Canis lupus familiaris: one gene and its partners. The protein of the gene in region 3 purifies or fractionates together with the protein of the main gene of each other region. This does not show direct contact. Links are inferred from orthologs where the notes say so. Each region holds a gene or a part of one and is shown on either strand. Other genes may lie near its edges.

Region 1 (4,075 bases), on a different chromosome or scaffold from region 3:
TTAGGTGTCTCTCCTGGGCTAGCACACAGACACCTTAAATTCAAATGCGCCAAACTCATTTTCACCTCAAACCCCTTGTACTTGCTTTTCTCCTGGATTATCCCTCAGATACTGACATGGTTGGCTTCTTTGTATCCTTTGGGTTTCAGTCCAAATGCCACCTGCGAAGGCCTCCTTCTGACCCCTCTTTTCATTTGCCCTTCACCAACTTTATCGTAACATAACTACATGAAGTTACTCTACCTATTTATAGTTTCTCACCATGAAAATGAAGGCTCCATATGAGCACAGGCATTGTCTATTTTGTTCATTATTTAGCTGCAGTACCTGAGATGCACTCAATCTCAACAAATACTTCCCAAGTGCCTAAAAACTCCTCTAAATTTTAACCTTGGAAACATTATGCTAAGTAAAAGAAACTGAAATTGGTCATAAAAGGTTGCATATTATATGACCTTATTTAAGTGAAATGTCCAGAATAGGCAAATCTGTAGAGAAGGAAAATTAGTAGTGGCCAGGGACTGGGGATGTTGGGGGAAATGGGAGTGACAGGCTTTCTTTCTGGAAGGACAAAAATGTTGTGGAATTAAACAGTAGTGATGGTTGTACAACTCTGTGAATATACTAGAAACCACTGAATTGTACACTTTCAATGGGTTGTATGGTATGTGAATTATATTTCAATAAAGCTGTTATAAAACAAGAGAATTCCCAAATTTATTCCAAATCTGCCCCAGCTCCCTAACTCGAGTGAATTCCATGATCGTTTACCAGTTGCTCCATCTAGAAATCCAAGACATCCTTACACTCCTCTCCACAGCTGCCCCTTCCAGTACATCTGATGAGCTACGAAACTGTAAAGATTTCAATTCCTTACTCTCTGAAACCTACTTCTTTCCAACTCAACTTTCATTTCATTCATTCCAAGCTCTCACTGCTTTTTACTGGGATTATTTCAATTCCATCCTCCTGGATTCTCTCCACTGAATCCACTCTTATTCATCTGCTTACCCTGCTGATAGGAGTGATCTTCCTAAACACAGCTCCCACTGTATCTCATGGATGCTTAAACCGTTCATTGGCTCTCTAGAACCGGCGTGAAAAGTGCCCAAACTCCTTAGTAGGTATACAAGCCGGTCCCTGGGTCCCTTTCCCACCTCATCTGCTCATCTTTCAGTCACAGCCATGAGGAAACTGGCCACAACTACGACCACTCTCTTCACATGTGCCACTACTGCTGCCTGGAACACCCTTGCCCTACACTATTTTTAGTTCCTATTTATCCTTTAGGGCTCAGCTCACCCATTCTATTTCCCAGGATGCAGCTGTTAGCTTTCTCTTCTTAATTTGCTAGAGTGTGTGCCTCTCTGTTTTCTTCTAACATTCCATTTACTGAGCACCTTCTATGATCTTCAAAGTAAGTGTGGCTATATTATTTTCACATGAAGAAATGGGTTCAGTGAAGTTGCTGCCAGGAAGTGACAGAGCAGGGACTGAATTCCACGTCTGACCCCCAAGTAAGGGTCTCCTATTATTCTAAACTATCTCTCCGGAACTTCTCACTTTGATCTGCAATTCCTTCCAAAAGGGTGAATTCAGTTAACTCGGCGCTCTCTTAGGTGCATCTCCAGTGCCCAGTGCCACGCTTGACACTTGCTCAGTGTTTGCTGCCCACAGGAAGAGAGGGTGAGCGCGAGATGAGTGGTGGAAACTTGTGTTATGTCCCCAGCAGGTGCTCAACTAGGCCCTACTGATGGATGTGTAGATACTGCCCACCTTTTGAGGAAAAAAAAAAAAAAGCACAGGTTAAGGTGACGTTGACTCCTATCTACATGTGTTTGTGAATTCAAATTGCTCGCCTACAGGAAAAGGGGGGGGGGATGGGAGTGACGACAGGCTTTCTTTCTGGAAAAAGAATTTTCTCCACAGGTCTGCTTTCCGGATCTGGAGAGAGTGTTTCTCCGGCAGACCGCCACCTCCACTGAAAGACGAGCCCTCCCACGGACAAACGCGGGCTGAATTTCTGTCAACATCTCCGCTCTTTCTCCTCTCCGTCTACCTTCCTTATTCTGCTAGGGTCTGAAGTCTGGACCTCAAAACTCATACAGCTAATGGATTTCCTCTTTCCCGTCTTGGCAAATGTCAAGTCCTGGAGGAAACAATAAACAGCTTTAGTTCTGCTTCGCGCCGCCACAGCCTAATCCGGGTCCTCCTGTCATCCCGCCGCCGCCAGCAGCACCGCTTCCCCCAGCGCTTCCACTCTAGCACCGAGGAAAGCGCCCAGAGGCCCAAAGCCATTCTTTCCCGCCGCCAACCCCAACATCCTCTGCCCTGAGATCGAAGAAAAGCCACGTCCCGCTCAACCCAGCAGACCCGTTCCGACCCACGTTTCTCCGAACCCCTTCAGCCTGAGAGGCCCGGCCCGCAGCGGCGGAGCAAGGGGCGGCTCCTGAGGCCTGCGGGCGAGGGGACGACCGGGGGGGCGACCGCGACGGGGGGGCGACCGCGAGGAGGGGGGCGAGGCCGACCCTCCGGCCGCCGCGCCTGCCTCTCACTGCTCCCAGCTTCACTCCCTCTCGCGCTGGGCCCTTACAGGGGTCGGATCAGCAGCTGGTCACTTTCCTCGGCGGGAATCGCAGACATCTCCGAAATCTGACGGCGAAGCGGGGGTGAGGAGCAGGCGGCGCGAGTCTGCGTAAACAGAAAGCAGAGCCACGGGGAACCTGAGGTAGAAAACCCCATCCACCAAGAGCACAACTTCCGGCACTCCGGCGCCCGCGACACCAGGCTCCGCCCCTCGACTTCCGGCCGCGGAACCCGGGTCGCGAGGCTCCTCCCCCAGCGGAGTCCGGAAACCGGGGCGGGGTCACGTGTGCGCCTGCGCGGTGTCTCGGAGGCGGGGCTCGGCGGGCGGGGCCGGGGGCGCCGGAAAAGCTGGCGCTGGATTAGAACTGGAGTGGCTGCCCCGGCGTCGGTTCCCGGGTCGGTGGGGGTCTGACCTGGGTCGCAGGCGGCCCCAGGGGCGGGCCGGCGGCTGCGAGGTGAGAGCCGAGCCGTGGCCGAACCCGGGCTGAGCCTGGCCGGGAACGCGGGAGCTGGGGCGGCGTTGGCGGGAAGGCCCGCGGTGGGGCGGATGGGTGGGGCGGCGGGGGCCGCGGGGTCCCGTCCTCCCGGGGTCGGGGACCCGGGCCCGGAGGCGGCGCGGGGCGGGCGGCGGGGCCGAGGAGCGGGCCGGGGCCTGTGGGAGGATGCGGTGCCCCCGTCCCCGCCCCGGTGCCCGACCCCAGCTCGGGCTGGGACTGCAGCGCCCGTGACGACAGGTGTCGGGGTGCATCGGTCCCGTCTGCCGCGGGGCGGCTTCGCGAGTCGGGCTCTGCTTTCTGGGGCGGAGAGGAGCACCGCCCCTCCGCGCCGGCCCCCGCGGGGGTGTCCCCCTGCCGCCCCTCCCCCACCGCGCCGGGCGGGGGGCGCCGGTGTCGGGTCCGCTGTCGCCGTGCGCACCTGCACCTGCACCTGGCAGGCGCCGCTCAGCCGCGCGACAGGCGCGGGAGGCCCGGTGCGGTCTGGGGAGAGCGTGGGCCCGGCTGTCTCGGGTTCCGACCTCGGCCCCACCCGCGATTAGCCCCGCGGCCTCAGCCGAGTCCCCTCGAGTTGTGGCTTCTTCCTTTGAAAGGGGCTGTAATACTGCAGCCTTGCTGGTCTCTAGCGCGGGTTGCAGGCACACACAGCACCCGGCACTGGACGGCGCACGGCAGGTGTTCAGGACAGGAGGGTTCTTGGATGTCATCTTCCCAGAAGGTTCTTTGGTTCATTAAGCATGCCCTCCGCCAGCCCGTGCCAGGCATTGGGTGCACCGAGATGCAGGACCTAGCCCTGTCTTTGAGGAGCTGGGGGGGAGGTGGTTCTAAGTAGGCGGATGCTGAGATCAAGGTGTATGCTCAGGCTGCGGAGCATGGGCCCTTAGCCCAACCTGGAGAGGTCCAGCCCAGGCTTTCTGGTAAAGAAGCAGCCTGGACTGAGTCTTGAGAGGTGAGTAAAGTTAGCTGAATGAATAAAAGGTGTAAGGGCACGCAGA
Region 2 (3,714 bases), on a different chromosome or scaffold from region 3:
GATGCTCAACATCATTAGTCATTAAGAAAATGCAAATCAAAACCATGAAATACCTCTTCACACACACTAGGACGATTAAAATAAAAAATAGGGTAGGAAACAAGTGTTGCCAAGGATGTGCAGAAATTGGAATCCTCACATCCTGCTAGTGGGAATGTAATATAGCATTGGCACTTTGGAAATAAGGTTTGGAAAACTGACAGTTTCTCAAAAGAGTTATTGTATTATCCAGCAATTCTCCTCTTAGGAATATGTTCCCCCAAAACTGAAAACCTACATTCACACAAAAAACTTGTATAGGAATGTTCATGGCAGCATCATTTATACTAGACAAAAATTGAAAAAACCCAAATGTCTATCAACTGATGAGTGGATAAACAAAATGTGGTATATACACACACTGGAATATTATTCAACCACATAAAGAGTGCTGACACATGCTACAGTATCAATGGATCTTGAAAATATCATACTAAGTGAAAGAAGTCAGACACAAAAGGCCACATATTGTATGATTTCATTTTTATGAAATATTCAGAATAGGCAAATCCATATAGACAGAAAATAGATTGATGGTTGCTTGGGACTGGGGTGAAGGGAATGGAAAATAACTGCTAATTGGCAGAGTGTCTTTTTGGGGGGATGAAAATATTCTGGAATGAGAGTGGTAATGGTTGCACTACTTTAAATATACTAAAAGCTAATGAATTATATACTTTAAAAGAGTGAATTTTATGGTATATGAATTTCAAATTTTTTTTAAAAAGGCCCTCTTAGAAAATTGATTTCCTCACTTCTATTTCAGACCACCTACTGGTTCATAAAAACAATAATTTTCAACAATACTTGACATTTATAATTCATTGTAACAAATACTACAATAAATTTTTTTGACCAAATTATTTATAATCAGCTGATGGTCCACTTGTATTTATTTTGCCTCTAAACAAAATCTGAAAGTTCCTCTGAGTTCATGATTTATTTTATAGCCTTTTTTAAATGTATATTTTTAAGTAACTAAGGCTAAAGAAATGTCTTCATTTTAGAAATTTTAGTAATCCTGCCATCAATAAACAGGACAAAGTATTGCTCTTGCAATGACATTAGTTAGCACAGCCATCTTCAAGCAGCACTTTAAAATTTAATTCCTGTTCATAGGACAATAAAAAGGCTAAGTGAGAAATAATTTTTCAATATCAGTATCGCAATGTAATCTGTATAACCAGATGCTTCAAGCCATATAACAAATGCAGACTTTCTTTCCCCTGGAATATAAATAGGATTCCAGGCTTACTCTTTTCAGTAACAGGATTTTAAGTTGAATTTTTTCAAAGCTCTACAAAGAAAACATACTCTTTATCGTCACCTTCTGTAATGGTGTTCTGCATATCTGATTTTTGCTATCAGAAGACTGAAACTTTGCATTAGCACTATAATCCACAACAAATTCTTTATAAACTTTGAAAGAGAATAAAATATTAATTCTAGTCTGATATCACTGGGTAGTACTATACTATGTATAGTTCCATATAAGTTAAACAGGAATGATCCTTCTAAAAATGCTAAGCATTAAAAAGAGGGCTTAATTACTTGAGAAATAAAGATCAAGGACTGCCATGATCAAGCTACACACTAGACAAGCATCCAAGATTATAATAGGGCAACATGATTCTCATTTTTAAGTTCAATGAAAATTGCATATATTCAGTTTTTACTCTTAAACACAAGTGGTTTATACTGTATTTGGGCCGCTAGCCCCAAGAAAGACAGGAACACAGAAAGGATGACCTTATACAACTTCAGTATTATTTTTGTAGTAAGGTGTATAAAATCCAACCATTGCTTCTGCAACCTTAGGAGGGAGCAAGCCTAAGAGATGAAAACATTTACACCTTTTGATTCAATTATACTATCACCTTATAAAAATATAAGGTTCAACATTTGTTTCCTTAAAAACAAAGCACTAAACAGTTCTCAATGAAGTAACCTAGCGATAGCTAAGATGTATCTAACATGTATACAGAATCCTTAAGACTAAAATAGCAGGAGTTCTTTTGCACTACATATATTCAAATGATGTTAGTTGTTGTAATTCAACCTGAACAACAAAATCTTGGTAAAGTAATAGGAGAAATAAAAATTGATTTCTGAACGAAATATGTACCACCTTCCACTAGATTGAATAACTGGGAAATACAGGTAGGGTAAGGAGATATGTGTGAAGACAACTGCATATCAGAATTCAAAAGAAGAGTTAGAGCACATACTCTTTGTTTTTTCTTTTTTAAACACACGGGCCTCAAAAAACTGTATCTTCAGTTTTTTTTTTTTTTTTTTTTTTTTTTTACATAGCACATCTTTTCTCAATAATTCTCACTTTTCATTCCAGAAAATTTAAGAAACTGTTTGCAAGAATTCACAACATGCAAACATGTTTCTCTAAGGCCATGAGCTGGTTTGCTAAGTTGCATTGTTTTATTCAAGTAAAAAGCCCTTCTAGAACAAGGGGTCTGTAGAGAAAACCAATCACCTTCGATTCTTGGGCCTGCACACTTGTTAGGATCTCTATCACTCTGAAAGCTAAAATGTGGAGTGCTCATTTGAGCATTAGCAAAATGGACTCTATTTACATTTTTTAAAAAATCGAATGCATGTTAAATTTTTCTGGCAATTCTTTCTGTATGTTACAAGACAAAAAAGCAAAAGCTTAGAATAAGAACGCTTTTTTCTTAGAAAGGTCAAACAGATACTTCCTGACATCATGTCCTTTACACAATGGCATACTGTTCATATAAAAGGTCTCTTATCCTATAAAAATCTTGACAAAGGCAGCCTTCTAATCCAATGCGTCCAGTTTCCGTCTAGAAAGTAAAAAACAAAAACAAAAACAAAAAACAAACTTTAGTATATTTGCTATTAATATGCAGACATAATAAACAAGATATATTAACTCGACTATTTGATGATTGGTCTGGAAATGGGTTGCTCAGCACAAAATAAGGATATTACATTCAAGTCATGAATTTTACATAGATATGTAAATGTCAAGATTCAAGTAATAAAAATTTACAGTAAAATTATACATTATTTCTTTAAGAGTCACTTTTATAAGCCTTTAAGGTCATCATTATGAATATAAATTACGGTCTCCAGTTTGTGAAATTACTGATCAAGAATCACAGAAGTCAAAATGGCAACACATCAGAAGGAAATATTTGTTCACTTTGCCCCTTATTAAAAACACATTTACGGGCAGCCCACGTGGCTCAGAGGTTTAGCACCGCCTTCAGCCCAGGGCGTGATCCCAGAGACCCAGGATCGAATCCCACGTCAGGCTCCCTGCATGGAGCCTGCTTCTCCCTCTGCCTGTTCTCTGCCTCTCTCTCTCTGTGTCTCTCAGGAATAAATAAATAAAATCCTAAAGACAAAACAAAACAAAGAAAAAAACCACACTTACTCTACGGACCGCTACTTGATTGTTGCAAACAAGCACACCTCCTACAAATTCAGCTTGAATCCCCTCCCGTAAAAGAACTTGTTTGAAGTCTGACAGTCTTGGTTCGTTCATAAAAACTGACTGATGTCCAGGAACCTTAAACAAGGATAAAGGGGAAAGAAGAACTTCAAATAAGACACCACACATACAGTTGTACTGAATAAAGTGCAGTAACACATCTCTAAGATATTTTCTATCATTCCCTGAAGACCTCTAAG
Region 3 (3,005 bases):
TAGTATATGACATTAAATTCATTTCAATTATCGCTACTTAAAGGATCCTAGTAATTCATTCTTTCAAAACCATGTTGTTACCACCACTGACAAATACATCCTAAGGCTTATCCCTAAAAACGCTCACAGAATTATAAACGTGTATTCTTAGATTTAATAGGAAAGGACTAATCTAAAGCTCTTGTCTTTTCTTTCACAACTAGCTAGTAACTGTATAAAACCTCCACATACTGCTCAACCAATGAGCTTTGGAAAAAGCATCAAGAAAGGCCAAACCAGCTTGACCCCAGCTCATAAACAGCCATGAGACAATTCAAGTTTGTGTCACAGTGACGCGTGTTTGTCCACGTGCCTGCTATAAAAACTACCCTTAGGGCAAGTTATTTTGCAGACACCAGCCAAATGCCTTTAGATTTTACTAATTTGGATATAAAAGTTCCCTCTTTAGTTATACCATGAACCCAAATTAAGAACACTGAAAACCTATCAAAAAGTTGTGATATCAAAACTGTATACGAGTACTTTAATACAATAAGCAAGAGTGCCACAGCAGTATTGATAAAGACTACTTTTAATCTCAAGACCCAGAGGTGCCCTTTTGCAGTGCAACCTCTTGAGACTGGTATTTGATTAACTCAAGAAAACTATGGCCAAGGTGAAACCTTAACCTTTATCAGATACTGTGTGTGTACATAGCTCTTTAAAATTCCCTGCTGAGTGACTCATTCACATTACTTTCTTGGATATAAGTCATTGCTGTCTTTATTTTTTTAAATATTACAAGACAAAGATTTTTAACTTAACATGAAAAATTTACTCTTTTATTTTGAGAAAAAAGTTAACTTTTCATACTAACAGAACAAGATTAAAAGTAAATTTCTTAAACATTATCCAGAAAAATAACAAGATTTATGGTACATTTCTGGCCCTAATATACACAACAGGCCATAGCCATGCCTACTCAGCAGGTGCAGCTTCAGTGCTCTCCTGTTCAGGGGCAGGCTCACTGCCTGCTTCTTTTCCTTCTTTGCTTCTCTTAGATTTTTTGTGCTTGTGTCTCCTGTGACTGTCTCCTTCTTCACTTTCATGGCGACGTCTACTGTTACTGAAAAGGAAAAAAAGTTGTGTTAAGTACACACGAGATAAGAAATATCAACCTACTATGTCTAAGTTGAATTCCCAATATAACACTGGGTTTTAAATGAATTCTTTTTCTCAAACACACTTTGAGGAGTAACCAGTTATGTGACTTTTATATGGAGATTGTATGTACAGTATAGGTTCACCTGCACCTGATATTATCCTACATTCTCAGAGCCCATATACTTTATCCTGAAAAACTATTACAAATTAGAAACTGAAGCACTAAATCGGAACAGGAAATACTTTCTAGAACTGATCCTAAACCAACAAACAACAGGCATACAATTTTAGACTATGAGGCCCTGATTTTTCTTTAAATATTAGTATTACTGGTTCATAGGCTAAATAAACCCCTCTCCCAACAAGACAGTAATAAGTCCATGAGTACTAAATGAGGTCTTTTTAGATTTAAAAATCTTTGATGAGCCTATAAGCAACCAACTACTTCAACACATTACTCTTAATCTTCCAATTAGGAACACATATGCTCTACTAGTTATTTGGAGAGGTTTTTAACTTTTTGCAGTCAAATCAATTTCTCTGAGCTTCAAAGTGATTCACTATAAAAGAACAAACCTTCGAGAGGACTTGTGTCTGGTTTCCTCCTTCTCTCTGTGTCGTCTTTCTCTGTGTCGTTCTTCTTTCTCTCGACTTGCTCTGTGGCGCTCATAGCCTCTTTCTGCATACTCCCTGTATCTGTATCGCTCTTCATCACTGAAATTGGAATAAAAACTTTTCATGACAACTGGACTGTTTAATTCTGAATAACTTCAAACTACAAGGGATGTGATCTGAGTCCAAACCAGAAGACCTCACACTGTTATTAGCATCTTATACAGAATAGGTGCAAAATATTTATTGACTTGAGAAGAAAACAATGCCATTCCCAACTAGCACTACATCTAATATAAAACATGTAATAATTACACGTTAGAAGTCCAATTTTATTTTGTGCTTTCAGTTGTTACGGAGTAGAAATTATATATACCAGTTTTTTTTTTTCCTTCCAAGAACTGGGAGCTATAACAGATTTAAATTTTAATCAGCCTCATCTTCTTTTATTCCTTTTAAAATTAAAAGCATGTTTGTATATCTTCGATTTCTAACCAAAATTCTTTTAGAATCTTTGTGTGCTTAAGATTTTATAAATAATAAAAATATTCAATTCACAATGGCTAGAGAGTGTAAAGTAGATGAAGGTGCTTAAGTTTTTCAATCACATGAAGAGTACATGCTTCTAAGGAATAGATACAGACATAAAGACAGGGACAGCAGAGCAACTTCTACAATATCCACACAAAATGCAGGCAAAACACTACCCGTGGACAAACTTACAGTCTGACATACTATAGGAGAATGTGTGTGTGGCTAGGGATGGGGGGATTCACATGGCTGACAGCAACAAGTGCATATACCTAGGCTGCACTTCCATTTCCTGATTTTGGATAGAATGAACTGCCGAAACAGGGACTGATGGCTAGAATTAGACGGTAGTCTTTTTTTTTCTTTAAACCTCCCTAGATCTATCCTCTCTTCATGTCTCTTCACTTATATTCTTCTCTCCATCTTTCTCTTAATTCTTCAAGCCTTTTTTTTTTTTGGAGGGGGGGGGTGTTTCAGCACAGAAGTCAACAATTTCCATAACCTGCTATCAGAAACTCAGAAATAAATATTTATCAGAAATAAAGAGCTTCGGTTTCTGGAAAGATCTAATATAAGTCAGTAATCTGCATGACGCATCATGATGTTAAGACATTTGAGTAAGACAGGATACAATATCAGGTGAAGCCATATAAAAGAGAAAGCTTAATTATCATCTCCTACCAAAAGCAGTGATTCAGTAGTGCTATACCTAACAACGC
Region 4 (4,268 bases), on a different chromosome or scaffold from region 3:
ATCCCAACTTCAATCTCAGCTCTACCATCACTTCCTAGCTTTGTGACTTTACACAAGTTCCAGATCTCTCTGAGCCTGTTTCCCATCTATATAATGGTGATAACATTAGGACCTATACCTCACAGTGAGGACTGAATGAGATGACAATTATCAGTGTGCAGCCTACCATCAAGCACACTTATACCACATATCAGCACCAAGGGTACTAGAGTTACACCAGTAGACCTTAAGTGGCCAGCTGCCTGGCTAATCCCTGGAAATGAATACAGTCCAGTCTAGGGGACAGTGAAGATGAAAACAAGGCAGATATTGGGCAATCTCCACATCCCACAAGGACCAAAAGAAATGAAATATTACTTTAGGAGAGAGCAGAGTCAGGTATAATGCAGCACATTGATCATCAGGAAAATAACTCTGGAAGAGGTCAATCACTGGCTCTATAGCTCATCAAGGAAAGAAAGTTCTCCAGTAAAAGGCAGGGGATTGGACTAATACTCTAGGATCTCTTGTATTTCTATGCCTCTGACGTATTGGTTCCAAGTTCCTACAAGTACCAGGCCTCAGCTCAGGATCTCAGCCACACCCTGGTCCTCAGAAGTGCCAGGTACAAAGCAAACTATACTCCAGCAAGCACTTCCTAAAAGGGCTAAAGCAGGTACTGGACTGTGAACAAGCTCAGACAGATCCAATCTGAGCTGGAGAATTCACTACCCAAATACTTAATCCTCTGGCTGGCAATGACACCATTTGAACAAAAACTCTCTTCTAAGGCTTCAAGAAGTCTAGTCCAGATTTTTCATTTCCCTCCACCCCTTCTGAGAATAAAAACTATATCCTTCATTCCATATCCCCAGCAAAAACCCCAGAGACCACAGGCGCCACTAGCCCTCTCCCTCTAAGACAGGCTGATGTCCCACTCTGGGACACTTCGAAAGTCCAAACTGCCAGATTCAAGCAATCGAAGTTTAACTCTCGCTCTAGCATTCTGTCTAGGCTTGCACGTGCCTGCATCACAGCATTTCCTGCCAATCACCATCTGCATAAAATTAAACTCTTGACAGATCCCAAGAGCCAGGGACACACCCACCAACCCAATGTACTATCAGCCAGCGTGGCCACAAATCAGCCAAGGTCTTGCATCCAGCCTCAGAACCTCCCATGGATGTGGGAGGGCAGAGTAAAAGTGAGGCTCTGTCAGGAAATGAGTAGATCCCAGATTCCCTCATCCTAGTCATTCCTCAGGGCTGCACCCACACAGTCTCTCCTTCTGATGAATATTCACTCTCTGAGCTCTTCCTCTGCCACATGGCCAGCTGCCAACTTGAAGCAGCAATCTCAGGCAGATTATGAGCTACCCACCAGCAAGGATAGCGTCAATACCACCTCCTTCTCCTCTCCCTCCTAATTCTACCCCTAGGCACGCTCCAAGTAGAAGCCAGGCACAGGGTAGGTACTCAAGGAATGAAGAGAGATCAGCTGTGTACGAGTTATAGCAGTGGCTAAGTAAGCATTCTCCCAGGCACCCCATTTCAGAAACTCCTACTGGGTAAAAGGGTCTATCACAAGTCACAGGCAATGCCTAGTTGTCATCATGTCTGTCTACTGAGCTCTTGGAGAATGAGGGTGGCCCAATAAGACATCATCTCTGGGATGAGGCCGCCAGCCAACTCACTCCATCCTTGCTACGTGGCCTCCTTGGCTGGGGATGCACAGTGGACATACTTGGCCATCTGAGAATACGAAAAAAAAACCTAGAAGAAAAAAGGATTCAAAGCACGCTCCTGTGAGTATGTTGAAATGAACAGAAGAAGCTGGGCTCTGAGTCCCAGAATCACAATGAGAGGCTGCACCCTGGACACTTCAGGGGCAGTTTAAACATCAGCCAAAGGAAATCGTGGCTCATTGAACAGAGGAGTAAATCATGGAACCTGTTGTTCCATATGTGTTTTTGCAGCAGCAGCTTGCAAAAACATTCTACAAATTCTTAGGTGGACAGCGGATTTTGGCAAAATCTGGGACAGGTGAGAATGCTCTCAGCTACAAAATGATGTCCCCCAACCCTTGCTCTCAGAACCAGCATCTCCTGCAAGAAGGCTAAGGCTCTCAGGCTTCAAAGGGTTTATAGTAAGAAGCACAAGCTTGGGGCACCTGGGTGGTTCAGTGGTTGAGTATCTGCCTTTGACTCAGGTCGTGATCCTGGATGTCCTGGGATGGAGTCCTACATCAGCTCCCTGTGGGGGAGCCTCCTTCTCCTTCTATGTCTCTGCCTCTCTCTGTGTGTTCTCATGAATAAATAAATAAAATCTTGAAGAAGAGGAGGAGGAGGAGGCCGCGGTGGCGACACAAGCTTTAACTGGCACTCTCCAGCAGAAACACCAGTCTCAGTCTTGGGAGGCACACTAATGTGCTACACCATCTTAAAGATGTCACATTAGAATACAAGGCCAGGGGCCCAACTGTCCCGAAGTAGGAAGTGCCCTGATCTGTGCGCCTGCTGAGCAGCACTCACATGCACAGCACAGTACTAGGCACTGCCTAGTACTCACTTGAAACTGTAGCGCATAGGGTCCACCTGGCAGCTACCCCCTTAAATGTCCCTTCCTCAACGCCTTACCTCTACTGGAGTGCCCCGGTCTGCTCCCACTCACACACACCGTTGCTCTGTCCAGGTTACCCTTCTTTAGCCTTCCTCTGACCATTCCACCTCCTCCAGGAAGCCCTCTGGCCTGAAGCATCCTGTCCTCTACCAAAGAGCCACAGCCTGGTACTCCCTCCCAGCACAGCACTCACCACACTGTTCTGGATCTGGACTTTCCCAGTCTTCAATCCGTCCGCCCCGCTGGGCTAGCAACTCCTCGCTGCGCGACACACAGAAGGCGTCGTTATTTGAATTCGTTAACTTGTTACCACAGGTCAGCCCAGCTGCTAAGGAAAAACAACGCACGTTGGAAAGGGACGTCTAGAGGGGCGGAAAAAAGTTTCTCAACCAACAGCCCGTTTCCTGGGCACCAAGGCGCACCCCGCGGGGCCAGGGGCTCCGGCCCTCGGGGGAGCAAGGCGGCCCGCGCTCACGCCCAGCGGCCCCGGGGTCCGGCCGACGGCCCCGCCTCCGCCGCCAACCTCTGGCCGCCCTCGGGGCCCGGCCGCCCGTCGCGTTCCCGGGGAGCCTGCCGAGCCCGGGCGGCCGAGTGCCCCGCCCCGCCCCGCCCGGCCCGGCCCGGCCGCCGAGGGACCGGCAGGAAGGGCGCCGCTGACCTCACCGCCCCGAGCTCGGGGAGGGCCCGCAGGCGGCGGGGCAGGAACCCAGGCGGGAGGAGAACCAGGGCGGCGGGCGGCGGGCTGCGGGCGGCGGGCTCCGGGCTGCGGGCTCCGGGCTGCGGGCTCCGGGCTGCGGCCGCACTGAACGCCCCCGGCCCCCAGCTCCCCGCCGCCCCGCCAGCGTCCGAGCTCAGCCGGGGCCCCGGGCCGCGCGGGCGGGGCGCTCACCTGGACACGCGCGGCTCCCGGCGGCTCCAGAACCTCCCGCGGCGGCCCGGCCCGCTCGGCGCCTCCTCCCCCGCGGCTCCGCCTCCCGCCGCGGCCCGGCCCCGCCCGCTTGAGCCGTCGCCACGTCCCCACCTCCCGCCCCCCCAGCACGCCGGGCGGCCCCTGCCCCGGCTCCGCGCCCTGGCAGCCTCGGCCGGGGTGGTCCCCGCCAGCCGCCCGGTGGGGGGGGGGGGGGGCAAGGGGGGCGGACAGCCGCGCGCGTCGGGGTCGGGGCCGGGGCCGGGGCCGGGGCCGGGAGCAGGCTGCGGGCCGGCGGGAGCCGCTCCCCGCCCTTCATGCCGCCGGCAGCTCGCCGCACGTACTCGGCGCCCGCCTCCCCTCGCCCCGCTCCACCTGCGGGCCTCGGCCCTCCCTGCCTCCCTGCCTCCCTGCCTCCCCGCTGCTGCAGAAGCGCCCGCGCGGTGGGGACTCCCGGCCGGGGCTCCTGCGCATCTTCTGGGGGTCCTGCCGGGCACTGGCTCCTGCAGCCCCTCCCCATCGTCACCACTCCCGAGTTACAGGGCGGGGTGGGGCCCCCCGGGGGGCCGGGGCCCGGGCGTCCGTGCAATCGACAGACCAGTGGAGAAGACCTTGAAAAATACGGGGGACCTGGGGTCCTCCCCACAGGACCAAGCTCCCCCAAGGGTTTCTGTCCGTCCCCAGCTCCAGTGTCAGGCACTCCTCCTGGTGACGTACTTACGGGTGATGGGTTGATGAGAAGCGGACCAACCAAAGGCTGAGGT
Region 5 (3,947 bases), on a different chromosome or scaffold from region 3:
ACTGAGAGAGCGGCCTTCGGGACCCTGGCCCGTCCTAGGGCCGTCCCAGCAGAACCGTCAGGCTCAAGGCCAGGCCGGAATACTGCTGCTCTCTGGACGGCGGGATACACGCAACGTCACACCACATGCACTCCTGGATTTTTCAGGTAGCACAGCTTTAAAAACAAACAAACAAAAAACAAAAAAACAAACTAAAAAAAAAAAACAAAAATAAAAACAAAACCCACCATCCAGTTCTAATACCACAAGTTGAGACTTAACCTGTTAGCACCAACATTTTTAAATAATTCCACTAAAACGATGCTTAACCTAATACAACCATCTCCTGTCCCCAAAATAGCATTTGCTATTTCAAACGGCTTACCAAAAAAAAATGTATCTGATAACTTTGAGGTAAACGTCTTTATTTTCTTACACAACCAAAAATCGTAAACTGTTTTAGCACGTTACCATTTTAACAGGTCAATAGTTTAGTCCTTATGTGCAGTTTTCACATTGTTTTACTCGGTATTCAAAAAATGTAGTTTAACATATTGTAGACACTCTCAGTATTGCTGCGTTCTTTGTCATCTTACTCCGTGTAGTATAACCACGTTCAGAGTTATTCTTGTGTATATACAGTGAGTAAAAGTGAACAGACCCAATCCTGCCTCCCCCTGCGCCCCCCCCCCCCCCGCTCCCATTAAAAAGGAAAACAAAAGGAAAATAAAAAGACAAGATGAAATCAGGAAGGGAAACCCTAATCACTGGAGCGTGGGGATGCAGACGTTGGCTTTCTGCATCCACCCTCCATGCTACAGGAAAACTCGGAGACCACTGCCGGTTATCTCCCGACACCGCTCAAGAAGCCCCAGTAGACTTCTGAATCTGTTCCTTTAAGATCAGGATGCTCTGCCTCTGCTCGGGGGGCAGCATGGCAATCTGATCTGCAGTCAGCTGAAGAACCTGCATGATCAGAGCTGCCTTTTCCTGATCCTGTGGAGTTACCTGGCTCTGCCCAGGACTGAAACTGCTAGGCTGGCCTCCACCTTGCTTGCCTGCCCCCTGCATGCCCACTGCTTGCATGCCTGCCCCCTGCATGCCTCCTCCTTGCATGCCTGCCCCCTGTATGCCCCCTCCTTGCATGCCTGCCCCCTGCATGCCTCCTCCTTGCATGCCTGCCCCCTGCATGCCCCCTCCTTGCATGCCTGCTCCCTGCATGCCCCCTCCTTGCATGCCTGCCCCCTGCATGCCCCCTCCTTGCATGCCCGCCCCCTGCATGCCAGCTCCAGGATTTCCCACCCCTGAAATGCCCGACACCTGTCTGGGCCCCTGAGGACCACCCGCCCCCATGTTAATGGGCCCGGGCCCCTGGATTCCCCCAGTCATTGGGCCTCTGGAACCGGGGCCGGGGCCGGGGCCCCGCATCTCCATCCCTCTCGCGTCCATGCCTCTGGCTTCCATCGCACAGGTCTCCATCCCTCTTCTCTCCAGCACTCTGGTCTCTAGGACTTCCGTCTCCATCCCTCGAGAATCTCTGCTCCCTCTGCCATCCATGGGGAGCCCCCTCTGATCCATCATGGGCCCCCGGGGCTCTCCCATCAGCAGTCTGGGGTCGGCGAGGGGCCCGCCCCGCAGGTCGTGCGAGTCTCTGGCGTGGCCGGACGCGTGGTGCAGGGGCGGGCCCAGGTAGCCTCGGGGCTCCACCTCCCCGGTGACCGAGAGCAGGGTCCCCCCGCGGGGGTCGTTCGGGGCGTCCCCCAGCAGCCCCCGAGGAGGGAGGCCCCCCGCGGCCATGGGCCCCCGCGGCAGGGGCGCCCTGGGGTCGGCCATCTGCACCTGGCCGCGCTCCAGGGGCCCCACGCCGGGCATCCCCACCTGCGGCTGCATGCCGCCCGCGGCGGGGAGCGCGGCGGGCCCGGGGCCCGGCCCCGCGGCGGGCAGGGGGCCCGGCGCCGGCATGCCGGCCTGGATCGGGGTCTGCATCAGCGGGGGGATGTCCTTCACGGGCCTCCGCGCCAGGTGCGGCGGCTGCGGGGCGGCGGGGCTCTGCTGGGCCAGCAGGACGGCCGGGGCGGCGGGGCCGGGGCCGGGGCCGGGGCCGGGGCCGAGACCGGGGCCGGGGCCGGGGCCGGGGCCGGGCTGCGCCTTGCCGGGCAGCAGCGGCGTCACGTGGACCTTGCGGTGCAGGATCCTGAGCGCCAGGTCGGGGTCCATGATGCGCATGACCACCTGCGCCTGCAGCAGCGCGTAGGCCAGCTGCGGGTTCTGCAGCAGCATGCTGCGCGCTTCCTGGTGGCTGTTCTGCACGCACAGCTTCATCTGCTTCATGAGCTCGAACATCTGCTCGGGCGGCAGGCTGGCCACGGCGCGCGTGATGGACTCGGGCGCGTCCTCGGGGTCGATGGGGTCGCCGTAGGGCGAGTCCACGACGGGCGCGGCGGGGCCCAGGCTCTTGAGCTCCTCCTTGTTCTTCTCGCTCGCGGCGTTGTCCACGCGCAGCGCGCGGCCGCTGAACTCGCGCCCGTTGAGGTTGCGCATCGCGCTCAGCGCCGTCTCCTGGTCCTGGTACTCGCAGAAGCCGTAGCCCTTGGGCTTGCCCGTCTCGCGGTCGTACACCAGCCGGAAGCTCACCACCGAGCCCACCTCCGAGAAGATGTCCTTCAGCTGCTCCTCCGTCGCCTCGTACGGGATGTTCCCCACGAACACGGAGCGCAGCGACCGGTCCATGGCCGGGTCCCGCACCGCCAGGCTCGACATGGCTCCCGGCGGCCCGGCGCGGCGCGGCGCGGCGGTGGCCGGCGCTCGTCCTCCTCCTCGGCGGCCTCGCTTCCGCCGAGCAGCGGAAGCCGACGGCCGGCGTCCGCCCGGAAACCGCCGAGGCGCGGCCCGATCGTTCCGCCCGCCCCCGCGAGTGCGTCCGCCGGTGCGCTCCGACGCGCGCCTTTCGCGAGGAGGCTTCCCACCGCGAGCCGCCGCGGCCGCCCGGAACGGCCCCCGGGGGGGCTGACCGCAGTAAAGATGGCCGCAGCGGCTTCGCCGTGGGCGCCGGGAGCGGACGTCGCCGCGACGTCACGGCGCTCTGGAGGCCGTTTGCCCCGCGGGAGACCGCCCACCGACCGGGGCTTCCCCGCTCCCTCCCCGGGCGTGCGCTCGGTTTGCTGCGGGGCGGACCCCGGCCGCGCCCGCCTCTGGTCGGCCCAGGTCGCGGGCACCCAGTGTGGGCGTCCCACGGGGCCGGGCTTTGCTCCCGCACGCGCGGCGGCTCGCTCTGCAGGACGGGGCTCCCCGACCCGACGGGGCTCCCCGACCCGGGGCTCCCAGAGCTGACGCTGCTCCCCGACCCGGTGCTCCCCGACCTGACGCTGCTCCCCGACCCGGGGTTCCCTGGGCTGACGCTGCTCCCCGACCCTGGCTCCCCAACCTGACGCTGCTCCCCGACCTGACGCTGCTCCCTGACCCGGGGTTCCCTGGGCTGATGCTGCTCCCCGACTTGGTGCTCCCCGAGCTGACGCTGCTCCCCGACCCGACGGGGCTCCCAGACCCGGGGCTCCCAGAGCTGACGCTGCTCCCCGACCCGGGCTCCCCGACCTGACGCTGCTCCCCGACCCCGGGCTCCCCGACCTGACGCTGCTCCCCCGACCCGGTGCTCCCCGACCTGACGCTGCTCCCCGACCCGGGGCTCCCCGACCTGACGCTGCTCCCCCGACCAGGGCTCCCTGGGCTGACGCTGCTCCCCGACCTGACGCTGCTCCCCCGACCCGGGCTCCCCGACCTGACGTTGCTCCCAGACCTGGGGCTCCCAGACCTGACGGTGCCTCCCAACTCGATGGCTCCCCGACCTGATGCTGCTCCCTGACCCGGGGTTCCCTGGGCCGACGGTGCTCCCCAGCTCCGTGCTCCCCTAGCTGGTGATGCTTTCTCACTCGGTGCTCCCTGAGCTGACGCTGCTCCCCGACCCCGGGCTC

Evidence for each region.
Region 1: the proteins of FIP1L1 (region 3) and CPSF3 purify together in Homo sapiens (affinity purification with mass spectrometry; 5 studies listed by BioGRID and IntAct, with this or other methods). This does not show direct contact. The link is inferred for Canis lupus familiaris from reciprocal best matches to the Homo sapiens genes FIP1L1 and CPSF3.
Region 2: the proteins of FIP1L1 (region 3) and CPSF2 purify together in Homo sapiens (affinity purification with mass spectrometry; 7 studies listed by BioGRID and IntAct, with this or other methods). This does not show direct contact. The link is inferred for Canis lupus familiaris from reciprocal best matches to the Homo sapiens genes FIP1L1 and CPSF2.
Region 4: the proteins of FIP1L1 (region 3) and P4HA2 purify together in Homo sapiens (co-immunoprecipitation; 3 studies listed by BioGRID and IntAct, with this or other methods). This does not show direct contact. The link is inferred for Canis lupus familiaris from reciprocal best matches to the Homo sapiens genes FIP1L1 and P4HA2.
Region 5: the proteins of FIP1L1 (region 3) and CSTF2T purify together in Homo sapiens (co-immunoprecipitation; 3 studies listed by BioGRID and IntAct, with this or other methods). This does not show direct contact. The link is inferred for Canis lupus familiaris from reciprocal best matches to the Homo sapiens genes FIP1L1 and CSTF2T.

The regions. Positions count from the first base shown.
Region 1 is NC_049238.1:6,543,247-6,547,321, reverse strand, and holds the start of CPSF3 (cleavage and polyadenylation specificity factor subunit 3), read right to left. Parts: upstream 2,805-4,075; 5' UTR 2,743-2,804; coding exon 2,594-2,742; intron 1-2,593. Other genes in the region: proline-rich protein 2-like, read right to left, coding at 2,867-3,787. UniProt on the Homo sapiens protein: Component of the cleavage and polyadenylation specificity factor (CPSF) complex that plays a key role in pre-mRNA 3'-end formation, recognizing the AAUAAA signal sequence and interacting with poly(A) polymerase and other factors to bring about cleavage and poly(A) addition.
Region 2 is NC_049229.1:1,459,450-1,463,163, reverse strand, and holds the end of CPSF2 (cleavage and polyadenylation specificity factor subunit 2), read right to left. Parts: intron 3,593-3,714; coding exon 3,458-3,592; intron 2,862-3,457; coding exon 2,769-2,861; 3' UTR 506-2,768; downstream 1-505. UniProt on the Homo sapiens protein: Component of the cleavage and polyadenylation specificity factor (CPSF) complex that play a key role in pre-mRNA 3'-end formation, recognizing the AAUAAA signal sequence and interacting with poly(A) polymerase and other factors to bring about cleavage and poly(A) addition.
Region 3 is NC_049234.1:46,769,303-46,772,307, reverse strand, and holds the end of FIP1L1 (pre-mRNA 3'-end-processing factor FIP1), read right to left. Parts: intron 1,858-3,005; coding exon 1,720-1,857; intron 1,106-1,719; coding exon 958-1,105; 3' UTR 509-957; downstream 1-508.
Region 4 is NC_049232.1:20,539,127-20,543,394, forward strand, and holds the start of P4HA2 (prolyl 4-hydroxylase subunit alpha-2), read right to left. Parts: upstream 2,812-4,268; 5' UTR 2,791-2,811; intron 1-2,790. UniProt on the Homo sapiens protein: Catalyzes the post-translational formation of 4-hydroxyproline in -Xaa-Pro-Gly- sequences in collagens and other proteins.
Region 5 is NC_049247.1:36,527,394-36,531,340, reverse strand, and holds CSTF2T (cleavage stimulation factor subunit 2 tau variant), read right to left. Parts: upstream 2,811-3,947; 5' UTR 2,740-2,810; coding exon 841-2,739; 3' UTR 384-840; downstream 1-383. UniProt on the Homo sapiens protein: May play a significant role in AAUAAA-independent mRNA polyadenylation in germ cells. Directly involved in the binding to pre-mRNAs.